Tamandua tetradactyla: one gene and its partners. The protein of the gene in region 3 purifies or fractionates together with the protein of the main gene of each other region. This does not show direct contact. Links are inferred from orthologs where the notes say so. Each region holds a gene or a part of one and is shown on either strand. Other genes may lie near its edges. The genes, in order: STAT5A, WWOX and ERBB4.

Region 1 (7,308 bases), on a different chromosome or scaffold from region 3:
AGACCCCAGTCCCAAATCTAGAGTAAGAAGGAAGGGTCATCTGAGATAGAAGGATGATAATTTGCCAGAATTGGGGTGGAAGAGAGAAAGAAGGAGGAAAAACAGGTAACGCGGAGACTAGGGCATCTTCATAAAGCACAGTAGACATTTCTATTTCAGATCTGGTTTCCACCAGAGGTATCCCAAACTGCGCCATCTAATTACTTTCAGGAAAGACTAAAATTCAACATGTCCCCAGTGACACCTGGTTTTCCTACTAACGATGATGATCCCTCATTCCACATTCATTCATTGACCCAACGCCAAGGACTATGCTAGGTGTTAGGATACAGTGGGGAGCAAGGATATGTGAACACACACTTTCTCCAGATAGAGACATGTGGAAGGATTTCCCAACTCCTCTCCTTATACCCATGAGACACTCACATTGTTGGCTTCTCGGACCAGCCTCTGTTCATTGTACAGAATGTGCCGGATGCAGCGGACCAGCTCCATGGGGCAGCGGTCATACGTGTTCTGAAAAAATTCAACAGTAGCCACCAGTAACCACCCTCTGCTCTAGCCATGCCTATCCTTTCCTCTTCTCCAGTCCCTGCCTCGGCCTTCCCAGGGAAGCCATAATTAGAAGCCCACAAGATACAAAGCACTTCCAATCTACCAACTCCTTTGACTCTCCAGCACAGCAACCCTATGACATAAGTTGAAATTATCCCCTTTTCACAGAGGAGAAAACTGATGCTCAGCGAGGGTAAGTTCTTGTCCAGAAACAAACGAGTAAGTGAGTGGCTGACTCAAGGTTGAGACTCAGGGCATCTGACACCAAGGTCAAGGCCCTTTCCACCATACTCCTGCCCTGGATTCCTGTTTGCTCCCCCCTCCCCCAGGTTTTTCCTATTTCTTTCCTCTTCTGGGATAGACTTTTTATTTCCCTAGCACCCTACTGCTGATAGTTAAGAAGGGCTATCTAAGAAATACAACCGAGTTCCAATAAATGCTTAACTACAGTTACCACCCAAACCCCTTTCCTGCTTCTAAAAAACACCCTCTCTTTCCCCATATTCACCCCACGTGAAGAAGCAGCTCCATTCTTACATTAAAACCTCAATTCAAGGCCCTTTTATCCAGCTCTTGTCTCTAGGACAACTCTGCTCCTTTCTCACCCCAGTTCAATAGCTCTTCCTCACTTAAAAGAGCCCCAAGAAGGATGTCTGGTTGTCTCATCCACGTATTTCTAGAATGTACCATCCTCCATCCTCCAACAGAGGACTCCTGATTCAGGCTACCTCCGTCCCTTCTGATGTCACTTAAGTTCATTGATCTGTCCATAATGCTGTTTCACACATCCCCCATCTCTTGGGGCCAAACACTGCCCCCTCCCCACTCCTTGCTTTGAATTATGTTCAAGGAACCTGACAGGTCTGATTTAGAAAGAGGGGGTGGGGGAAATTGAAGAACAAAAAAGTTGCCGAAAAGTTCAGGGTCACATGGTGAGTCAGTGGCCAGGCCAGGAAAAAACCCAAGGGTTCTGATGCTGGGAAGAGAAGAGAAGGCGGATGCTGGCTCCCCAAGCCGACCCAGAGTGCACACCCACCTGCAGCTGTGTGGCATAGTGCCCCAGCTTGATCTTCAGTAAAAACCCATCTTCCCCCACTTGGTGCTCTGCCTTCTTCTGCAGCTCCTGCACCAGGCCCTCCAGGAGCTGGGTGGCCTGGGCTCGGTCCTGGGGATTGTCCAGGTCCACGGCATCCCTCGGGGCAGGGCAGGAGAAAGAAGCTTATTTGGGTGCCTACTTGGGCATGGAGATGGGGCACCAAAAAAGACATGGAAATCCCAGGCTTGTGATTAAGGGTGCTCCTGGACACAGAAAACTTGTTCCTGGCAGTTCCATGGGCCTCAGAGTCTAGAAACATCCCCTCTCCCCTCCCAGGCCTCCATTTCCCTGTTCCCCTTTCCCAAGGACACCGCCTTTTCCTGCACCTTCCGCACAGAGAGGGACAGACACGATCAGATTCATACCAAACCACAAAGAGCAGAGCCAGAGGCTAAGGAGCATGAGCCGTAGGTACTGGCAGAGGGAGGCAGAGGGCAGGGGGCACTTACCAGGGCTGACTCTCAATCCACTGCGCCAAGTAGTGTCGGACCTCAATGGGGAAGTGCTGGCCGTACAGCACCTGCATCTGGCGCAGCGCATCTCCCTGCAGCTGCTGGGCCTGAATCCAGCCGGCCATGTCCCTGCACGTAGGAAGAGGGTCCCTCGTCTTCCACAGACAGCTTTCCTGTGTGGGAAGAAAGATGGTGAGGAGGGGAAGGGAAGCTTTCCCCTTCAACAAGAAACTCTGAGGCTTGGGGAGGGGCTCTCAAGAGTCAGGTACCTCCCCCTCTTCCTCTCCCCTCGCCCCACTGGGGCTTCCCCGCTGAGGGGGAGGGGGACAGCTAGAAACTGAAAGAGAAACTCTGCAGCGAACGCTCTCGGGTCCTCTGGGGAGGGCTGCAAGAATCCCCCCACCCGGAGCTGCCTCGGACCTTGAGTTCCAATTTCTAGAAAGGCCGGATGATCTGGCCCAAAGTTAGGGCTGCGCCAGCGACAGTTCCCACTCGACGGCCCGGTCCCCGCGGGCACGTGGCTGGGGTTATTAGCAGAGCAGGTTGGGGGGACTGACGCTCCGCCCCCTCGGCTGCGCCCCCTAGCTGCGCCCCACCTGCTCCTCCCGTCCAGCTCAACAGCGCTCCCTCCCCGCCGTGGGCGACGATGCCCCCTCCCTCCGCCAGCGTCCGAGGTGCGCGCTGCGCCAAAACTCCCCCTCGATTCCGGGGACCCGTTCCCCGTCCCCCGCCCGTCGGGCCCCGGGATCCTCCGGCCCGAGGGCCGGGGCAGGAGTCGAGCGCCCCCTCTCCGCGCGCGCCGCCGGGGACGCGCCGCCCGGCCACCCACCTGGTCAGGGCCGAGCCGTCCGGCCTCGGCGCCGGCTCTCAGCCCCGCGGCTCTCGCTCCCGGCGCGGTCTCCTGGCGGCGGCGGCGGCTGTTACTACAGGAAGGAGCAGAGAGCAGCGATTTCCTCCTCAAAGGTCAGCTGCCTCCGCTAGACCATACACAGCGCGCGAGCTCTCGCCAACACCCTTCCCTGCCTCCGCCCTCGGTCGCCCGTTCCTCCGCCAGTGCGCAGCGGCGGCCGCGCTCCGGGCTCCGGGCGGCGAGGCGAGGCGGGGCGGCGCCGGGCGTGGGGGTTGCCCCGACGGCGACGTCCCCCGGGAGCCCCAGCCAGTCCTTCTCGCCTGCGGCGCGGCGGGAGCGTCCCGGGACGGTGGCGGGCGCGAGGCTCGGGAGTCGCCGTGGGGGCGGGGGAAGGTGGGAGGACCGGGAAACCCCGGCCTCTGGAAATCCCAAACCGGAGCCTCAGTTTTTCTTAGCTGTGAAGAGGGAGGAGGGAAGGGTTGGCCCAGCTGGAGGTGTCTTCCAGCTCCGGCGTTTGTCATCGTTTGAGTCTAGATTTTTAAAAAAATATGTGGCGTGTGTGTGTACCCGTGAGCTGGAGGCAAAGCTTTAGTGACCTTAGAGACAGAGCCCCCGTGAGGGGAAGGACTTGGGGATTCCGGAGGAGTGGGGTGTGGGGGGGACACACCTCCCCCGCCGCCGTCCGTCGCTCCTCTCACCCGTGACCCACCCCCTGTAGCGGGAACAGCAGAAAACCCTGACAGCTATTTCAACCCCCCTCCCGCAATTCTGCAGGTAAGAAATTGAAGTCCAGGGAGAAGGGGCTTCCCAGGATCATGCCGGGCGCATGGAGCAGAGCCTAGATTTCATCCCCAGAGTATGAACCACAAACCGTTTCGCACATGCCCCACCCCCATTCATCCCAGCGCAGCCACATCTGACGGGTCTCCTACCTTCAGAAAGGCCCGGGGAGGAGTTGTGTTGGACCCACTCACAGTCCCTCACAGCCTCCCTTAGGCCTTGCCCCAGCATCCAGTAACCTCCAGGAGAGCCTCAGTCACAGGCCCCTCGAGTGCACGCCCCCCCCCTCCAGGGCCCACTGGGTTGGGTAAGGCCGAATTGGAAGCCTTCCATCCCCTTTGCCCAGCTTCCCTCTCCTCTGGGCCTCCCCTCTGCCTGGCAGCTGGTATTGGCAGCACCAAGGGAGGGGCCGGCCAGGCTGCCCACTCACAGCCTCGCTGGGCCAAGACCACATATCCTGGGGGGAATCGTGCTCATCTGTCTCCCTCCCTGATCCCTTATTGGGTCTGCCCTTTTCTCCCCATTCCCTGTTCCCCTCTGCCTTCTTGCCTCTCCCTGGTCCCATCACTGCCTCCCCCACTTCTACTCTTTATTTAGAGAAAAACTGAGAAGCCGGAATGTCTAGGTCCTCCCACCCCCCTTCCATGTGTGGTCACGGTCTCTTAGTTGGCAAGGTCACGGGGAAAGGAATTGAAAACTGTAAGGGGGTGCGTGGAGGATTGGGGAAACCTTACTCTGCAGATGTTCCACAGCAGAGCCCAAAGGAGGAGAATCTCAGCCCTTCTGCCTCACTTCTCCCTGCCCCCTGTGCAATGGATTTGGCATTAGGAGGGTCAGACATGCAGAGAGAGGGTCACTTGGAATGAGGGCCATGTGTCCAGCTGAAAGCGACCATCAAGATGATTTTACAAATGGGGAAACAGAGGCCGGGGAGGGGAAGTGATTTGGCCACTGTCACGCAACTTGTTAGTGGCAGTGGCGGATCCAAACCCATTGCCACACAGTGGGTGGGGCCCATTCAGTGGCACCTGTGCCCTCCAGCCCACTCACTGGGGGGGAAATCAGTCATAGGGGCCATTTTCTTGGGTTCCCAAGGTCCTTTGAGCTAAGATTAGAGGGCAGAGAAAGCCCCTTTGCCATGAACCCACTCCTACTCCAGGCACGCAGGGCTGCCAGCTTCAGAGGGTGGGGGCCCTGCTTGTCCACTTCTCTAGGCAGCTGCCTCCCCCTGGGCCTGTTAGGCTGCTGCCCCAGCTGGCAGCCCCACCCACCAAACATCTGGCTGGGTTGGGCTTGGCTTGGCTGGGGCGTGGATAGTCCTGGATCCTAAAAAACTGGCATTGAGGTGCCAGCGAACAAAATAGGAGGGATTATGGGTTGGCCTAAAAGGGTGTGCCCCAGTGCCTTCAGAGTCCTCACTTGCTTCCCTAGCCCCCACCCCATGATTTGTGTCCAACCCCTGACTTCTGGCCTTCTCTCACTTGGTCTTTCTGTCTCTAATGAATCCCAGTGCCCTTCATTGCATATTTCTCCCCTTTGCTTTGATTCTTTCTCTCTCTCCTTAGGTCTCTGTCTGACTTTCTATTTGGGTCTGCTTGGGTTTCTCTCCATTTCTTTGGACCTCTGTTCTCACCTTGAGATTCACTGGGGTGGAGGAGGAGCTTTGGTCAGAGGTCACCCAAGGGGATGGAGGAAGAAAGGGTGTCACAGTCCGGTTGGGGCCAGAGGTAACTGGTCATGACTCTGGATAAAACGACTACCTGGAAATGTCAAATTTGGGGTTTCATTTTGCTTTTGGTACCCAGGTTTGGTCTGTGCTATTTCCCACCACAAAGCGCCCTGGTAAGTTTCAGGTGCCCAGTCTATAGAGGAGAAAACTGAGGCACAGGGGATGGGGTTTAAGAAGATCAGAAACTGCCTAGGGTCTGGACAGAGCTGGGGTCCCAGGTTGGCCTTCTGCCCCTTAGCTGCCCCTAATCCCCATTATGTGGGGAAGGAGGAAGGATTTTTCCCCAAATCTTTTCTTTAGGAATATTTCATTAGGAATAATAATAACCCCCAACCTAGTCTATAGCTAGCATGCCATACACGTACCTTGAACTGCATTGTGGCACAATTCATGCGTTGTGTACATTCATACACAAATGGTTGTACTCTTCAACTCAACAGATCCTTAAGACAATTTTGGAGCTAGACAGGGCCAGAATCGTCCCCTTTGATTAGCTCAGTCCAAAGCTCTCTGACTAGTTAGTGTGCAGTTGGTCCCAGGACCCAAGTTGCCCAGCCTTATGGGCAGAGTACCTCCTCTCCCAGCCCCAGCAGACGCCTACAGAGTAGGGACGTCTTCTTTGGCTGGGCTAGCCCAGAATTGTTCTCTGGTGCAGAGCTTCACACCCCCAGCCCTACCCCAGCCCTTGCTCCTACTCTGTCCTGGGTTTTGTGTGGAGGTGGGTTTGAGCTTATGAAGGAAGGGAAGAATTATCCTAGATCCCCTTTCTGCCTTTTCCTTGGAGACCAGGTTAGCTGAGAAGGCCCTACTGATGCCCTCACCCTGGGGGGAACAGATTGAGGTCACCTTGACATGACCATCCTACGGGGTGGGGGGACGTGGTACAGAGGCGCCTTTGTCTCCTCTGCTGTACATCCCTTCTTCAAGAAGAGTTCCTGTTGCATGGAAGCCAGAGGGGAGGTGGGGTGGCGGTGACAGGCCTGCTTAGGAAACCTGGAGGCATCCAGGAAGCAGCTGGACATCCCAGCAGAGTGGGGAGAGCAGCAGCCCTTGGGCTCTTAAACAACCTGCTTCACCCCTGCCCTACCCTGGTACCTCCTGGTAGAAATGATCCCCTCCATTCTTATCCCCAAAGATAGAGCAGGACCTAGGGAGGGTGTGTGTGTTGCTTAGTGAGGAATTCTTAGTGACGGAGAGGGGAAGGGTGATGCCACCGGCTAGGTTCCCGGCGATGCCCGTTCTTTCTTTCTTTCCTGTGTCCCTGGCCACCTCCCCACTCTTCAGAGAAGCCAGTTTACAATGAAGCCATCACGAGAACACAAGGCCATCCTGCCTGAGGCATATTAACTAGCCTCCATTTCTGGGAACAGAGTGAGGGGAGGGGTTACGGGGTGGGTAGGAGGGGGAAGTCCTTCCTTCTTTTGTTTAGCCGTCTTGCCCAGCTGCCTTGTGGGAGAGGCTCACAGGCTGAGTTCTCTCTGGTCAAGGTTCGTCTGTACCAAGTACCCGTCTCCTACCCAACTCCCGAATGAGGTGGGCAGGAAGGAGGCCTCCCTTTGTCCATCCCCCTCATTGCAGGGGTAGGCCCTGAGAAGGTGGGTCACATGCAAGCTGAGCTGGGCAGCTGAGTGGGACTGGCTGCTGGCCTGGACAGCCTGGGTTGGCCTGGCTGCTCATCCTCAGCCATGAAGACTTGGGCCCTTCTGCCCACTGAGCTCATTTCTCCTCCTTCTAGCCCAACAAGAACTCTTTTGTGCAGTAGCCAGCCCAGGACCTGACTTCAAGCCCCTGGGGGTTGTGTGGCAGAGGGCTATGCATCTCCTTCCCTGCCAACCCCCGCCCCCAC
Region 2 (7,852 bases), on a different chromosome or scaffold from region 3:
AAGCACCTCTAAAATCACCCAGAACATTTTTTTTTCCTATGCTGAAAGTCAAAAACAAAAAAAAGTTATCACCCCATGTTCTTGACTTTCACAGAAAGTGCCTTAAACCAAGGTTCCAACCCGGCCAGTGCTGACACCTAGAGCTGGGTGTCTCCTAAAGGGCTGCCCTGCATGCAGGATAGGGGGCAGCACGCCTGGCCTAGACCACCAGATACTGGCAGCACCCTCCCTCCACCCAGAGTTGTGGCCACTGAAAATGTCGGCAGATCCTGGCAGCGGTCCCCCTCAGGGCACAGCTGCCCCCAGGGATGGCCCATGGGCCCAGCTGAGGGTGCCCCACATCTTCTGGGGATGGAGTCCGAAGCCCCACAGCCCTGGGTTTCTGGATCTCCCACTTGCCAGCAGGGTGCCCTTAGGGAAGGCCTCTGACCTCCCTGTGCCTCAGTTTCCTCATTGGTGAAATGGTGATAAAAACAACACCCACTTCTTGGGGTTATAAAGAGGACTGAAGAAGTTAACATGATTGACGAACTTAGAACTGTGTCTTTCACACGGAAGTCTTTTTTTAAAATAAATTCTTATGTGTAAAAAATTAATTAAAAGGTATTCTTTTTCATTATACCCTAAAATTACTTTTTAACAAAGAGAAAACCACAACATATCCCCAGTGTTATCTTACCAACCTTAAATAGAGGCTTTCTTTAATTTTTTCTTTCCTTTCAATAAGCTTTTGGTAATTTAAAGAGATAATAGTGATCTTAATTTAGACCACAGATTCAAAGTTAAATTTATATTCTACTGCATGAACATCACTTTCAAGCATGTTCTTCTAAGGTATTAAAAAAAAAAAAAAAAAGGCAGCATAATTTCCTTAGACACAAAGAGCCAGCGCCCATTAGGAGAGCCAGCCCGGAGCAACAGGGCTCCATCCCCTGCAGGCCTGCAGCAAACCTGCGCTAAATGAATTAATTTGCTTACTACATGAGTATATATCTTACATCTTCTAGATGCTAAGCACTGGAATACAGAGGCGAGCAAGAAAAGGTATCTGCTCTCATAAAATTTACAATCTGCAGGACAGTGAGTAAATAAGGAAGTGTATTAAGATAACTACAGATCGTGCTAAGTACCATGAAGCAGGTAAACAGGTGATGGGGTGGAAGGTACAGGGATAGGGCTCAGTCAGGGAAGGTCTCCTGGGACAGATGAAAGGAATCCTTTGTGCAAAGAGCTCAGAACAGAGCAAACAGTAAGTACCCGGTTAAGGAGTGCCTGGACCCCTGCAACAGCCTAATGACTCCCTGCTGCAAGAATTTTCCCTTTGGTTCTCCAGAATCAGAAATCATCTTTCTAAACGCACACACCAGATGTCACTTCATGGCTTCACCCTGGATCCTGAAGGCAGAGCTCAACTCCTCAGAAGGGCACAGAAATGCCTCCACAAAGTGGTTCCTTCCTCCTGTGCCTGAGCCCTTCACAGCCCAGCACCACACACCTCCCAGGTCTCTGGACAAGCCATACTCTGGGGGGTTCTGCTCTCACGGTTCCCTCTACCTATGCTGCCCTCCTGTCTCCACTTTTTCTGGACAGCATGGCTCAGGGGCCAACTCTCCCAGGTACACTGGCCTAACATGTTGCCTCTCCCCCACCTCATGCTAGGTAGGCTGCTCCTCCTACATGCACTGCACTGGACTATCTTACTATCTCGGCACTTGGCAATACAGGATTGGGCACTTTCTAAGGATGACAAAAGGGCCTTATTTATCTCTGTATAAGCCCAGCAATGGGCCTGTCACATAATAAGATCCCAAATGTGTTCCGAATGCATGAAGCCACTACGGTCTTTTTTATGTCTTTCTAGCAGGCCACAAAAGACAGCTGTGATTCACACCCTTGGGTAAATCAGAATCACCTAAGGTGATTTACAACATGAGGTAAGGGTGGGGGGGATGAGGGGAAGGAATCCTATCCAAAACCAATTTAAATCAGAATCTCTGGGAGTGATTCCCAGGAAAAGGTATTTTTACAAAAGCTTTCTACAAGTTGGAAAATTATTTATCTATATCCACTTTCTCAAAGTAGGGTGATAATCCACTTCACCTGGAAATTTTTTTAAATGCAGGTTCCCCAAGTCGGGGGTCTACTCTGGTAGGTTCCCTGTTAAGTGGTAAATTTTAATATCTAATCTGTGGCGGCTGCAGAACCAGCAAGAAAGGCTAAAAGTTATTGAGCCCTCACTGGTTTTTATTAGCTTTAACTGGGTATTATCAAGTGCTCTGCTAAATGCCTTGGGCACAGTGCCTGAGCTAACCCTCACTCACACTGACCCATTTTACAGATGAAGAAACTGAGAGTGAGTGTTCTATCCCCCAAGTTCATAGAGTGACTGAGCCAGCTCTGAAGGTTCTGCTAGTGTTTCCAAAATTCTCCTAGGAAATGACAGCGGAACTATCTAGGACGTTTGTTAAAAAAAAAAAAAAAACAAAAAAAAAACCCATATTCCTAGCACCCCACAGGGACGTGGGCATCTGCACGTTGTTTTGCTATTTTTCCATAAGGCCAGTTTGTGCATCTCTGCAAAGTGCGCTGCTGCCTCCTGAACAGCAGAGGGCGCGCCTGGACGCGGCCAAGTTACCCACGCTCGACCCAGGGCTCCAGACCCTCCTTGCGACCCTCGGAGCCCTTGGTCCAAACTCCTTCGCCATCACTTCTACTTCGCACGGCCCTCGCCAAAGGTGGTGCGGGAGGCCCGCGCCCAGGCGGGTCTGCGCGCTCCCTCCCTGCGCAGGTGGCGTCCGGAGACAGGGGAGCATTCGGGGACGTGAGGCCGACAGGGTTCCAGGTGCGTCCCCAGGCCCGGTGGCCCCACTGCGGCCCCCTTACTTGGCATAGTAAACCCAGCCATCCTTGGTGGTTCTCTCCTCCCAGCCAGGCGGCAGCTCATCCTCGCTGTCCGTGTCGTCCAGGCCCGCGTAGCGCAGAGCTGCCATGGCAGGGACAGGAGGTGCTCGGTCACCCACTCGCTGCGTCGCCCGCAGCAGAGTCTCCTTGTCCAGGAACTCAGACTTCAACAGAGCGCCGCGCGCGTCAAGGGCGCCCGACAGCTCGCGCCTGCGCACTGCGGCCCCAGAGCCGCACTCCAGTCTCCGCTGTTTCGCAGTTACCAGCGTAAAGGGGCGGGGCCTGGAGAATGGGGCGGTGAAAGCGCCGAGGAGATCGCCCTGCTGCTCGGTAGGAAGCAAGATACGGAGAACGCTCTGGGAATATGGAGGTGGAGCCGAGCTTCTTCAATCACTCCTCCTCCGGGAAGGGACGTGCACATCCAGTCACGGGCCAGGACTCCACCCGTTGCTGGGCGACCCGTAATCACTTCCGCGTTGCTCTGGCCAATCCTGCAGGAGTCCCCAACAATTGAGCATCCTGGGAAATGTAGTCCAGGCCCCATAGAGCGAAAGTGAGGCAGAAAGGAAGGAAAGTAATCGTGGTTTCTTTGCCTCCGCCTTCCTTTGATTCACAAACTTTGTTATGCATATAAGTTACCTGGAAACCGTTAAAAATGCAAATTTCTGTTTACCTGATAACCAAGTCCTAGAAAAGTTGTTTCCCTCCAGCCCCAGCGTGATTCTATCAATAATAAGAGCTAACAGTTATCAAGTGTTTAATTTCCTGTCCAGAACCAGGAATTTATAGATTATCTTTTTCACGTATCCAGCAACTCTGTTAGGAGGGCACAACTCGAAAAGGCGAGTTAACTACCCAAGGATGCACGCTAGAAAGCACAGAACCAGAGATTTGGGGCAACTGAGAACCTGTACTGTATTATACTTATTCATTTATCTGTATGCTCCTGATTAAAACAACAGCACCACATTTATGCTTCTTTCTGTCTCTAACTGAATAAAGTGTCAGAACTTAGCAGTTTATTGAATGAATGAAATGAATAAGTAAAAAATGGTATTTTACGAGTCAACCTATTTAAAAACAAATTTTTACAGAAAGTTTACAAAGCAGACTCTCTGGAGTCCTCTTGGAGTGCTGGCATGCTGAAGCCTAACTTCAACTTGGTCTTGCCTTAGGAGTTTTCCAGAATATTCCCAACTGGAACCTAGCTTCCAACCTTATGTTACAGGGAAATCTGCTGACTGATTTTCCTGACTTAGGGCACAGAAGAATGCAAGGCTCCACCAGAAAAAAATATATAAATTTTAAGGGGGGAAGTGTTGCTTTTTGTCCTTTTCAAGACCTGAACTGATACTGCTTTAGGATTCCTTGTCTGTAAGTTCTTAAGGAGACACTCACTTTCCTTTCAACTTCACCAATCAAAAGCTAAGTTAACGAAAGCCAATTTTAATTTTAGCAAGCCTGCTATACCGTCTCAAGCCTATCAAAACATGATGTTTTCCAAATCCATGGGCACTAAAATATGCTACCTTTAATTTCCTACTTCTTTGTTCAGCCCAATTTAGCTCCTTCCCCCTCCCTCAAACCCATTTTTTCCTTTGCCTTGAATAGGAAATTAGGTCACAAAGACCCTGGTGGTGGGGAGGGAGATGAATGGAGCCCAACCGATTAGCCTCCACTTCTCTAATCATTCTCTGTGATCTGTGCTCAGCTTCTCAAGGACCGTTTAGAAATATCTTGGGTTGCCCTGGCCTGAGCCTCTCCAAGCACCTGTTGCCTGTGACTTGGCATCAGTCCACAGATAATGATTTAAAGTGGTGCTTTCTGCAAACTGGGTAGCCATGGTCTGGATAGAATTCTAAAGGTCTGGGTCAATCCTCTGTTGTTCCTACCATGTTAGTATTTACTCCAGGGCTTCTCCTGCCTTCTACACCGGGATTCTTCAACCTGGGCTCTAACGACATTTTGGACGGGATAATTCTTTGTTGTGGGGGTGTAAAGTCAAATGCCAAATAAGCCTTTTGCCAGTCTTATAACAAAGGATTATCATGACATCTTATTCCTCCTCTTCTGACATCTTATTTGTTGCAGTTTAATAAGACATATGGGAAGTCTTTCCTCATGGACCTGAGAGCCATCTCTTTGAAAGGTGATAATCAGAGAAGAAAATACTGAAAAAGTTTCCAGGGGGCAGATGGACCTATCTTTAGTTGTCCCCAGACCCCAAATTGCAAAACCCACCTCCAGATATGAAGACATTATCTTGAAAACAGGAATATAATGGGTTGTGTCCATTTAGCTATCTAATACAGTAAGAATTCTGTCTTTACAATCTCTTTAGCAGAATGCCTGTGATGCATCACAGTCTCGTTTAATGATTATTCAATAATAAAATTGTTTGTCTGGTCTTTGTCTTCCCTTGATGAAAAACACAAAATCCTTTCAAGGTTGAGAAAGGATTTTGTTTTTAAGTATGTTTCCCCAACATGGGACTGTTGTATGCAATAGGATGTTTAGCAGCATCCCTGGCTTCCACCCACTAGATGCCAGGAGCTTACCCCTCGCTCATTTGTAACAACCAAAACTGTCGCCAGACATTGACACTATTGGCCCAGTCGAGAACCAAGCCAGGAAGTTACTAACTGCTGAATCAAACACTGAGATTTACTTTAGGCATCCAGGAGCCCATTTCTGTCAGTAGATTACAGGTTGGTACTTGGACCCTGTTGATGTCACTACAAGCCCTGATCACAGAGCTCTGTAGCACTGTCAGATGCACCTGCCTGTCCCATCACTAGCCTGTCTCCACCAGAGAGCCTTGGGCCGGCAGAAAGTCCAAGTGAGGGGGCTTAAACCCCAATAATGGCCCAAAGGATTATCATGACATCTTATTCCGCCTCTTCTGACATCTTATTTGTTGCACTGTAATAAATATATGGGCATTTGGGAGACTTGTGAGGAATAGCATGTCAGATTTTAGGATTTATAGATTTTGATTCACTAAAACGAACAGTGTTTTAATCAGGCTCATTGATTGCAAGCTGCAGAGATTCATTCAAGAGCAAGAGTTTATGGGCAGGGAGTGTGCACACGAGCTGAACTAGGACATTAACAGGACACAGGGGAGCCCAAGGTCAGCCCCGTTTTTGTTTTTTCTTCTCATGAGTTTCCTGATCCCTTGCTTCCCGCTCTCTGCTCATGGGCTAAATCTCCCCCTCTCTCCTTACTGACTTGCTCTGTTTATTTATCATTTTGCAACCTTCCCGGCCCCATAACTTCAGCTTGCACTTGGCTTTGACTTTGTTCCTAGTAGGTGAACTCTGCTTGATTTATATACTACAATTATAACAGATTTGAGGTGTTTGGGTTTGGGAATGAGCTAAGCTCCTCAAAATGTACCCCTAAGAAAGCCTAAAGAGTGGCCTAGTTTTGTAAAATCTACTGGATCGCAATAGTGAGAAGGTTGAAAAAAAATCCAGGTGTGGTTACACAGCTGCACACTAGATGGTACTATCTGCCCAGGGACTTAAAGGCTGATGCCCAATTCAGGACTTGATTTAAGCATTTCCATAGTGGAACTGTCTTTTCCTTTTGATTGATTACTTCTACGATACCTACAATTTATTAACATATGATTGATCCCTTTTTGCTGAAAGCAATTTGGCTTTACTAACAAGAAATGTATGCAGTGGGACCAAGTTTTAATGTAGCATTCCTAAAACCACATTTCTTTCCTTTATCATCATTAACCATGACGATGTTCATTTCCTCCCCCAACCTGACACCCACCCCCAAAAAATCTGCAAACCTGATTTAATTTAAATCACCATTCCCTGGGAATTAAGCCTGATTTTTCTGGTGCCCAAGTCAATACGTTAATGAATCTAAGAAGCCTATTTGCTCTTCTTTTGATAAGCTTTCCATTAGAAAGTAACCAGCAAGGGGGACAACTGAACAGGATTCTTAGGAAAATCTCTCCTAGTCAATGTGCTCTTACTTGGGAAAGTGTGTTTGTATTCACTTATTCATTCAAGAACAATGAATGGGGGAATTTATGCTTCGTCTCTGTAAGAAACCAGGAAAATGAGACACCCTCTGTCTCTAATTCAGTCTGTTAGAATAAGATCAACAGACATACAAAGAGTGGTAACCAAGAAGTTAAGATTTAGGGGATGATTATGATTACTGAATCATTATATAGATATTCCTTTTTTTACTTCCTGGTATATGAGAATAGACAGAGGGAAATACCTGACATCTCTGAACTGTAAACCAGCTGCCTTGATCTCTGATAATGATTGCATAGCCTTTATCTTGTGCCCTTGTGATTGTAAAAAGATGTGACTGACCCTCACATTTTATCTGGTTTTCCAACTTTGGAGTCCTGTGATCACTGAGACAGCCCCTAATGTTTACTAATGAAGGGTCCTGGGTCAGCCCAGAAGCAACCCACCCCAAGTTCAAAGTTATCTTGATCACCAGAGCTGAATCTAACCAAAATGGGCCCACTTGACATGCATGTTAGCTTAGATTTTAACCCATCCATCGCCTACACGTCATTATGATACTAAAAATCACACCCATCATCATGTTAAGGCCTCCATTTTCTTACATGCTTTCTGTGACTAAGCGTGTAATTAATCTGTGCATGCTCAATAATTAAATCACTCTGATTACATCATTTAGACTCACTGTGAGAGGTAAGTTTGCAATTTGGAGCCAAGCTCCACCTGAAGTTATGCTAATCTCCCAGGAAATTGGAAGAACAGTACACTATCTTCCTTGATGATTACATTTCAAAGAAATGGCTCCAGTTCTTGAAACATTCCTATATTGCAAAATTCGAAGGGACTTATTTAACTTGGAAAAAAATATTTACATACATTTCAAAAAAAAAAAAAACAGAGATCTTAATACAAGTTTTCTAATGTCAGTGCTCAGAGAAAGAGGA
Region 3 (7,977 bases):
AGATATGTAAGAGTGGGCACTTCAATACTACTGCACATTTTATTTCAATACAAAGGTGGTATTGATTACTGTTAATGATTAGAAGACGGAAACTTTACAATTATTTCTTTGGGTGGTAAAGGCCTTATAATTGCACTATGAAGGGCCTTTGGCTATAACATTTTTATATGAAATAAACTTCTGGAGATGAGGCAAAGTCCTTCAAAATCACTAAAAAGTCTTCTCTAAAGCTGAATATTCTGCCATGCAAAGGAAGAATAAATAAATAGATGCAAATCGTCTTCAATTACAATTATTTTAAGAAAATCTCAAAGATATAAACAATAGACTCCCCCTATATTTTTATTCCATTCACATAGAGCTGTAAATAAGGTGCATTCCTTCTGCTTAAGAAATTAGCATTTCAAAAATATGCTACTTTCCCCCCCCCGAACTCCAAGCGTGTCTAATAATGCGAGAAGCAGATTGTCTTCCCTCGTTTCCTTAATTTGTTTCATCTAAAAGCAATTCACTCAACATCTTGTCGCCCTCTGGCAGCTTAGTTTACTTATCCGTACTTAATTTCTCATTTGGACCAAAACAAACTCCTCCAAACTGCTACTGACTGCTAACCGCGAGAGGGGAGACGCGCAATACTTTATTTACTAGGGCACATACGGCCACACACAAACGCAACCACAAACACACAGTGTGAACCTCAATCTCACTCCAGACAGTAGCTTGGTTTTACAATAGCACTATGTTAAAATCAGCTGAACTTTCCCTGCCAGGTGTGGTGGGGTGAGGGTGGGGGTAGATTAAAAAAAAAAATGTCCCAAGGGCATTTACAGTTTCCAGTGGATCACCCCAGCATGCGTGTCGCAATTATGCCAGGGATGCACCCGAGAGCGTTTCTTTGTGCGGCCCTTTCATCTTTATCACTTTGTGTTTTGAACAAGTGAGACTCGCCTTTGTGCCCCCAGAATTTCAAGTACAGAGTCACACACGGAACAACAATGGCACGCTAATCCTCGCGCTCTAAATGGGCTCACTTGTGGGTCTGACAATTCGCTCCGGGAAGCGAGAAGGGACGGGACCAGCTAGGGCGCGAGCCGGCGTCTCCTGAGACGAGGAAGAGGACAGCTGCAGAACTAATTTGGATTACATTCCTTGCAGAAATTCTGAAAAGGTTTTTTTCGGCATAGCTCAACCCGCGAGCCGCACAGTTGATGCCAAATCGCTGCGGACTCGGAGCCGGGTCCCCCCGCGGCTGAGGCTGAACCATGCAGCCCCCAGTAGGTTGCCTCGTAGAAATTCTTCTCAGCTAAGCCTGCATGTCAGTCAGTCGCAACAGTTTTTGAATGGGTCAATGTGCATAATCAACCCATTGAGGGGAAATATGAAGGGACTCGGAGCGAGGAGGGAGATAAAAAGGGATGTATCTAAGAGGCCGCTTGGAATCTCAAGTCCGTGTTGGTGTGTAATTCCGGAGGTGGCTGGAGCGCAGGACCTGGTATGCATGAAGAATTGCGGAGTAATTGGGAGGGTGCAAATGGCCAGCACAAACGGCGCACGTGTGCCATTCGAAGGTCATTCTGAAAGCCTCAGTGATTATAACTTGCTATTTACTAGGCAAGGAGGGGGAGGCGGGGGCGGAGCGGGAAAACTACAGAGCGCTGTTTTCTTGTTGAGGTCAGGAAGACACGCTCCAGAGGCCCAAAGCTTTCCCTATCGTCACCCCAGGTGGCTTTATCTCTTCAAGCCGCCTCCCACACGCTCGCGACCAGCCCCGGATGGATCCGGAAATCTCCCCGGCTCTCCAAAGCACCCCACTCCGCCTCCCACTTGGGCCAAGTCAGACACCGGTTCTCCTCAGTCCTTTCCTATCCCGCATTCATCCACAGGAAACTCAAGTGTCAGAAACTTTGAGCTCCCTCGCACTGCAGGTGCTATCAGAAGCTCTGCCCGCCCGGGAGCGCCAGCCCCACTGCGCTGCCTCGGGGGTCATTTAGGCGTTTGCCTGTCTAGGTACCCGGGGCTTAAGCTCCCCAGCAAACAGTGGTCGTGCACCCAGCGTAGTCCGCGCGCCCTCCGGGGGTTAAATCAATTCGCGCCACCGGCCGGCTCGACAGCCCAGTCGGGCTGTAAACAGAGAAGTTGGAGGGACTCCGGCCAACAGCAAGTTGAACTACAGGAAGAACTCTTCCCGGAGCCAAACGTAGCAACCGACCTGAAGTCCGGGCTCCAGACTCTAGCGTGCCAAGCCCTTTTTTTTTTTTTTTTTTTTAAAAAAAAAAGAGGTCAGGCTGGCAAGCAAGCGCCCCTCAACTCACTGGGGCCAGGGACTCCGGGACGCCGGCCGAAGAGGCCCAGGGTTCCCGCGCCTGGGCCGAGGCACGCCCGCCCGCTGCGCTCCAGCTGCCCAGTCCGGGTTCTAGCCGGGTCTGACCCGGGAAGGCTCGGGCGACTGGGGGCGCAGTGCCCACCGGCAGCACACACAGGTGCAAAGCTCGGCTCTCGAAGCTTCACTGTGCACTGCCCCGCGGCTCAGAAGCGGCCCGGCAAGCGCCCCGGGACCCCAGCCCCTCAGTCACTCCCACGCTGCGCGCTTCTCCTAGGCTTCTTGCCTCGAGGGCCAAGACGCGGACAGGAGAGTCTCCTCTGAATGAATTGGGGGTCTCCCACGTCCTCAACAACAGGCGCCACCAGAAGGGATCCCGTTTATGCACGAAAAAGAAAGGAGGGTGATAAAGGAAAGAGGAAAAAGAGAGACCGGGGCGCGCAGTGATTTTTCACGATAAATTACATACGCACACAAGGCAAGTTTGGGGATGGAAAGAGGGGTGACCGAGAGCCCAAAGAAGCGGCCACGGGCGGGTGGTCCCTCTACGCCTGGAAGCTGGCGGGTCTCGGGATGCGCGGAGAGAGCTAGGGAGCCGCCGGAGGCAGCCAAGCCGGCGGCAGCAGGTTCAACAGCTGGAGCGCGAAAAGAACGAACCGCGACCCACCTGATTGGGAAGCGCTGGGCTGGACGGTCCCCGCCGCCACGAAAAGGCTCACCCAGACCCACAGTCTTGTCGCCGCCAGCTTCATTTTTGTAAGTCTCAGATCCCGTGCTGACAATTACATGTCCAAATGGCATATCCCCTCTCTGGGGCGCGAAGGAGATCCCTTAGCCCGACGCGCGTGGGGGCCCGAGCGGGGCTGGCTGGCGGCGCGCGCGCTGCGCGGGCTGCGAGGGCCGGCGAGGGAGTCCTTGCGCGCGCGGGTCCCGGGCGGGGACCCGGGGGGGGCGTGAGGATGTGCGCGTGCTGCTCCGGGTCGGACTGTGCAGCTATTTTCCCGTGTGAGCCTTCGCTTTCTCGCTCCCTCCTCACTTTCTCTCTCGCGCTGGTTGGTCAACAATAAAAAGGAAGGGGGGAATAAAAGGTTTCCAAAAAAAGTTGATTGCAAAGAGGCGGTAGGTTTCCGGTCTCTCTCCCCACCAGCCGGGCTACGTTCGGCTCCTTTTTCTGCTTCCCTGCACCTCCAGTCCAAATCGGGAGGGAAGGGGCGGAGAGGGGGGAAGCGTCTTGCTTCACCCTCGATCCTGTCCTTTTTTCTCTCAGCTTTCCTCACACTTGTCCGGCGGCTGCGGTAATTAAAGCTCCGAGCGTCATTTCCAACGCTCGGCAGTCTCCAGCTGCAGCCCCTCAGAGAAATTAATAAGACTCCCGGAAAAAAAAAAAACAAGAAAAAAAAAAAAACCCTCCACGCAACCAGGCCGGCACTGCTCAGCAGTTCAAACCCCGCCCCTGCTCTGACCCAACTAGCCACGCCCTTTCTCCCGCCCCCCCACGGGGAACTCTTATTGGCTCAGCCACTCCCCAAAATCCTCAGCCTCGGGAGTTCGGGAAAACACCTGTCAGCAAAAGGGAGTAGATGGTGGGGCGGGGGAAGACGAACGTAAAGGGCTTACCCGAGGCCACTGACTGAAACATTCCCCTTCTCTCCCCCAGCAGACACCAGGGACAGCTGGCCCGCGGAGTGGCAGACAACGGAGCCTGTTTTTTGGTTTTCTTTTATTTTTTTAAAGATGTCACCATTTTCACCATTGCCCTAAGGTACTCATCCACAGACCGCACCTTCGCTAGAATAGAAGCAAAATCAGCATGTCTTGGGGGCAAAACTGCCTCTCCCTCCCCTCGGTATGATAACTGGGAATCAACACAGATTAGGTAGTCCTGGGGTGTTATCATCCCTGTTCCCCGACTATGACTATGCAGCCTCTCCCACCCAAGGTAACTGACACTGAGCAAAACAGATTTGTAGAAGCACTTTCTTTGAATTTTAAACTTTAGGGGTCTTTTTAGCTTTTCCCTGTACTCTAGGACAACTTGGTTTGGGTTCATTTTCATTATGCAGATTCTATTCCAAAGCTATTGATTTAGCCCTAATGGACTAGAAATTGTCCTAGGCCTGAACTATTCAGCCTGAAAGGATTTAAGAAGACCATGCCAAGATATAACTGACCCAGGTTTAAGTTCCTTCCTTGTTCACACTGAAAATGTGCACTCCTCAGATCAGCGCTGGCTATGGCAGTCTCTGGGCTTCTCTGGATCTGAAATATCTTGGGACCAGGTCATAGCAGGCTACGTATCCGTTGCCTTATGCAGCTCTGGAACTGTATCCTGAATAGGGTCCAGAACCTCCTGGGGGTAGTAGGTTATTGGTTTGCTATTTGCACAGGCATTCTATGAATTATATTCCCTTTTTTTCTTTTTTTTTTTTTTTTTTTTGGTTTCTCTAGGGACAGCAAATATACAAATAAATAGTATCTGGAGAGCCTAAAAATCAGCCTCCCTCCCTCTTCACTCATCATTCGAGACCTCCTCCATACCTTTTATCTATAGTCAAGCCCATTAAGAAGCTCCATGGAGCTAAGAACAGACAGGAACAGTAGCAGCGACCCAGAAGTCCGAACCCTTTTCTCTCTTAGGCCCACAGCAAATAGGAAGCCTTGAGAAGAGGCTCAGAAGCAGCCCAGGATGAGCAGAAGCTAAGCTGAGAGCAGATGATGGTGATTTGCCCAGAATGGTATAGATTGCAGCAAAACTGTGCTCACTGCTGGTATGGATCATCTTTGATTTCTATTTCTTTTACCCCCCTTCTATTTTTTTATTCTTTCTTTCAAGCTCTTCTCAGTCCTTTTTTCTTAAATCCTCTTCTGATTTTTATGATGACTCTCAGACACCTCTCCTCTGTGAAAGTTACTTTCTAAAATTCCCATTTTGTCCCTAGGATAAAAACTTAAGTGACAAAAACAAACAAGCTTCTTGCTTTTGGAAATGTTTAAATCTCTGTGTTTAAAAAAAAAAAAAAGTCTTGTTTCTGATGCTAATTCTGTTGCAAGATATTAATTTTGTATTTTAACTTAAATTGTGGGAAAAATTAAATAGTCTGAATGTTTTGGAGTTTTTGTTTGTTTTTTACTTGTGTTCCTTCTGATAGTTTTCCTTCCCTATCAATTTTATAGCTCTTTTGTGACAGAAACTCTCTTGTATGTCTTGGTCTCATCCATACCTTCCAGAATAACTCTTGGCAAATGAGGGTTTTTAACTAATGTTTATTGATTGGGAAAAAAACTTTGTCTATGTTTGTGGGTACTAGACAGCCCATAAAAGATGTCTACCAGTTAAAATACCTAACACACCATGATTTGCCTCTACTACTCGGTTTCTTCTGCTTTGGCTCCATTTTCCTGTCTCTGATTGAAATAATGATTGGTAACTTGCCAAAAGTGAGTATTTGAACAGCAGCTTATAAAATGATTTGGAATGAGAGCTCTACTCAATAGAAGCATCCTGGTGCCTGCTCTACCAATCAGAGTCTAGTTCAAATAATTTCAATGTGAGATTTAAAGATGTAGACAGGAAAATGGTACTGTGTGGGGGCAAGTTGGAAAGATGAGAAAGTAGAAACCATGAGGAAGAATCATGTGTGTCTCTCTCATTTGTGTCCAATCTCAACGGAATCTTCGTAAGAAAGGCCCTCCAGATTCGGAAACACTTACTACCTGATGTGGAAAGAAGGATATACTGGCTGGACTGTTGTACGCTTGCTGAGATGGGCTCTCTGTAATTCTTCACTTTTCTCTGTATCTTTATAATTTATTCCCATTAACTGAGTTAACTAAAATGTGTTGCTGTTGTTTGCTACCTGGGGAAAAACAAAAGAAAATACAAGACTAACCAGCATGTATGTATGTATAAGCACTTCATAAATAACAGATGATCACTTGGAGTTGTCTGCTATACCCTTTTCTAGGAATTACCCTACCTTAGTTCTACATTTTTAAATTGGATCTACCTCCATTGAACAACCTTGCCTTCACTGCCAAGTTATAAGTTGGACCAATCAAAGCACTTGGTCACTGTTAACTGAGTGACAAATGTTCACTGGCCCTGAGTCCCTTCCCTGAGAAATAGCTCGTAGTCTTTCACTGATAGCTTTAGAAATTAAAAAAAAAACAACTCTGAAACTGGCTTGGCTATGTTTCCTTCTACACAGGCATTACCAGGCTGCAGTGGAAAGAATGAAGCTGCCATTTGGAAGGTACAAAACCCAGATGGGTCCAAAGAGGATTCTTCTTGTGGCTAGTTGTTCAAGTTCCCATTTTCCTTAAGTTACTTCAATTTTTGTTTTGTTCCCTGAAACAAGAACAGTGTGAAATGGGAAAAGAATTTCTCCAACTTGAATGGGATCATATAGGCAGCCTGCCCCTTGAGAAAGACATCTTGATGTAGTCCATATTCTTGAGTTCCTTTTCCCATTTTTTTTCATGATTTCCCTTGTATGAAGTGTAATCCCAACATTAAAATGGCTTTGTCCTATAATGCTTTCCCATATCTCCCTTTCTGCCTCATTTCTTCCATTAATGATAGCTTTCTGAGTAAGTTCTGATGTCATGAGTAACAGAAGGCTGCTGGTGGGAGAAAAGAATACAATGAACTCAAAGTTCAATCTGATCCTTAACTTTGTCCCCAATTTTCCTAATTCATTCTACTCATCAGCCTGATTCTGAAACCTCTCTAAAAGTAAGCTTAGAGCTTGCTACTGTCCATATTTTGCCATTATTGGCCATTAATATAAATCTGAGCAGATATCAACAAAGAAGAGAAAATGGGATCCTATCATAGATAAATCGGTTATCTTCTCAAGAACATTTAAAAATAAATAGTGGGTTCTGTTTTTTTTTCTTTCTTTATCACATCTAAGTTACCTTGCTAAATTGAGCAAGTCACTTCATATGCCTGTGCCAGTTTCCTCATCTTTAAAAGAAGTAGATACATATAATGTCCCAAATCAAAGACTTTATGGGACTATGACTTACCCACCACCTATGAAGTGCTAGTCATAATTTTCGTGCACTTGAATTCTTATTTTCCTTACTCTACCCATTCTCAACTCGCCCCCACATACGTTTCCATCTGGGCCACCAACACAGAGACAGACACACATTTTAAATAGCCTTAGGGAAATATCCAAATGAGCGCAATACTATATTACTGTGAAATACTCAAGACTTCGAATTCTTCATGTTATTAGTCAAGGGAAAAATTTGATATGTACTGATCAAGTTCATTATTGTGATGATCAAGCCAATGACAGAAACAGTTTCGTTTTATTTTATTTTATTTTTTTAACTGAGCACTTGAAATTCACCTTTGTTCCATACCCTCTGGTTTCTAGATTTCACTTCATATTTTGGTGACATTTAATTTTTTAAAGCAAAAAAAAAAATACCTTTAAAACTTCAAAATTTTAAAAATGCATCAACACATTAACTAAAGAAATTTATTTACTACCTTAGTTAATTTATTATACCAAGAGGCCCTCCCAAGATCATTTCATTTTTAGTAAGTGCTTTTTCTTTCTATATGCACGATTAAGCCTTAATTTTTTTAATACTGAGGAGGAATGGCTGAACATAAATAAATGAAAGCTGTGTTGCTTTTA

The links.
Region 1: the proteins of ERBB4 (region 3) and STAT5A purify together in Homo sapiens (affinity purification with western blotting; 3 studies listed by BioGRID, with this or other methods). This does not show direct contact. The link is inferred for Tamandua tetradactyla from reciprocal best matches to the Homo sapiens genes ERBB4 and STAT5A.
Region 2: the proteins of ERBB4 (region 3) and WWOX purify together in Homo sapiens (affinity purification with western blotting; 4 studies listed by BioGRID). This does not show direct contact. The link is inferred for Tamandua tetradactyla from reciprocal best matches to the Homo sapiens genes ERBB4 and WWOX.

The regions. Positions count from the first base shown.
Region 1 is NC_135332.1:24,922,420-24,929,727, forward strand, and holds the start of STAT5A (signal transducer and activator of transcription 5A), read right to left. Parts: upstream 3,112-7,308; 5' UTR 2,933-3,111; intron 2,277-2,932; 5' UTR 2,229-2,276; coding exon 2,101-2,228; intron 1,749-2,100; coding exon 1,592-1,748; intron 517-1,591; coding exon 427-516; intron 1-426. UniProt on the Homo sapiens protein: Carries out a dual function: signal transduction and activation of transcription. Mediates cellular responses to the cytokine KITLG/SCF and other growth factors. Mediates cellular responses to ERBB4.
Region 2 is NC_135342.1:72,976,598-72,984,449, reverse strand, and holds the start of WWOX (WW domain-containing oxidoreductase), read right to left. Parts: upstream 3,339-7,852; 5' UTR 2,991-3,338; coding exon 2,884-2,990; intron 1-2,883. UniProt on the Homo sapiens protein: Putative oxidoreductase. Acts as a tumor suppressor and plays a role in apoptosis. Required for normal bone development. May function synergistically with p53/TP53 to control genotoxic stress-induced cell death.
Region 3 is NC_135329.1:187,875,907-187,883,883, forward strand, and holds the start of ERBB4 (receptor tyrosine-protein kinase erbB-4), read right to left. Parts: upstream 3,179-7,977; 5' UTR 3,073-3,178; coding exon 2,988-3,072; intron 1-2,987. UniProt on the Homo sapiens protein: Tyrosine-protein kinase that plays an essential role as cell surface receptor for neuregulins and EGF family members and regulates development of the heart, the central nervous system and the mammary gland, gene transcription, cell proliferation, differentiation, migration and apoptosis.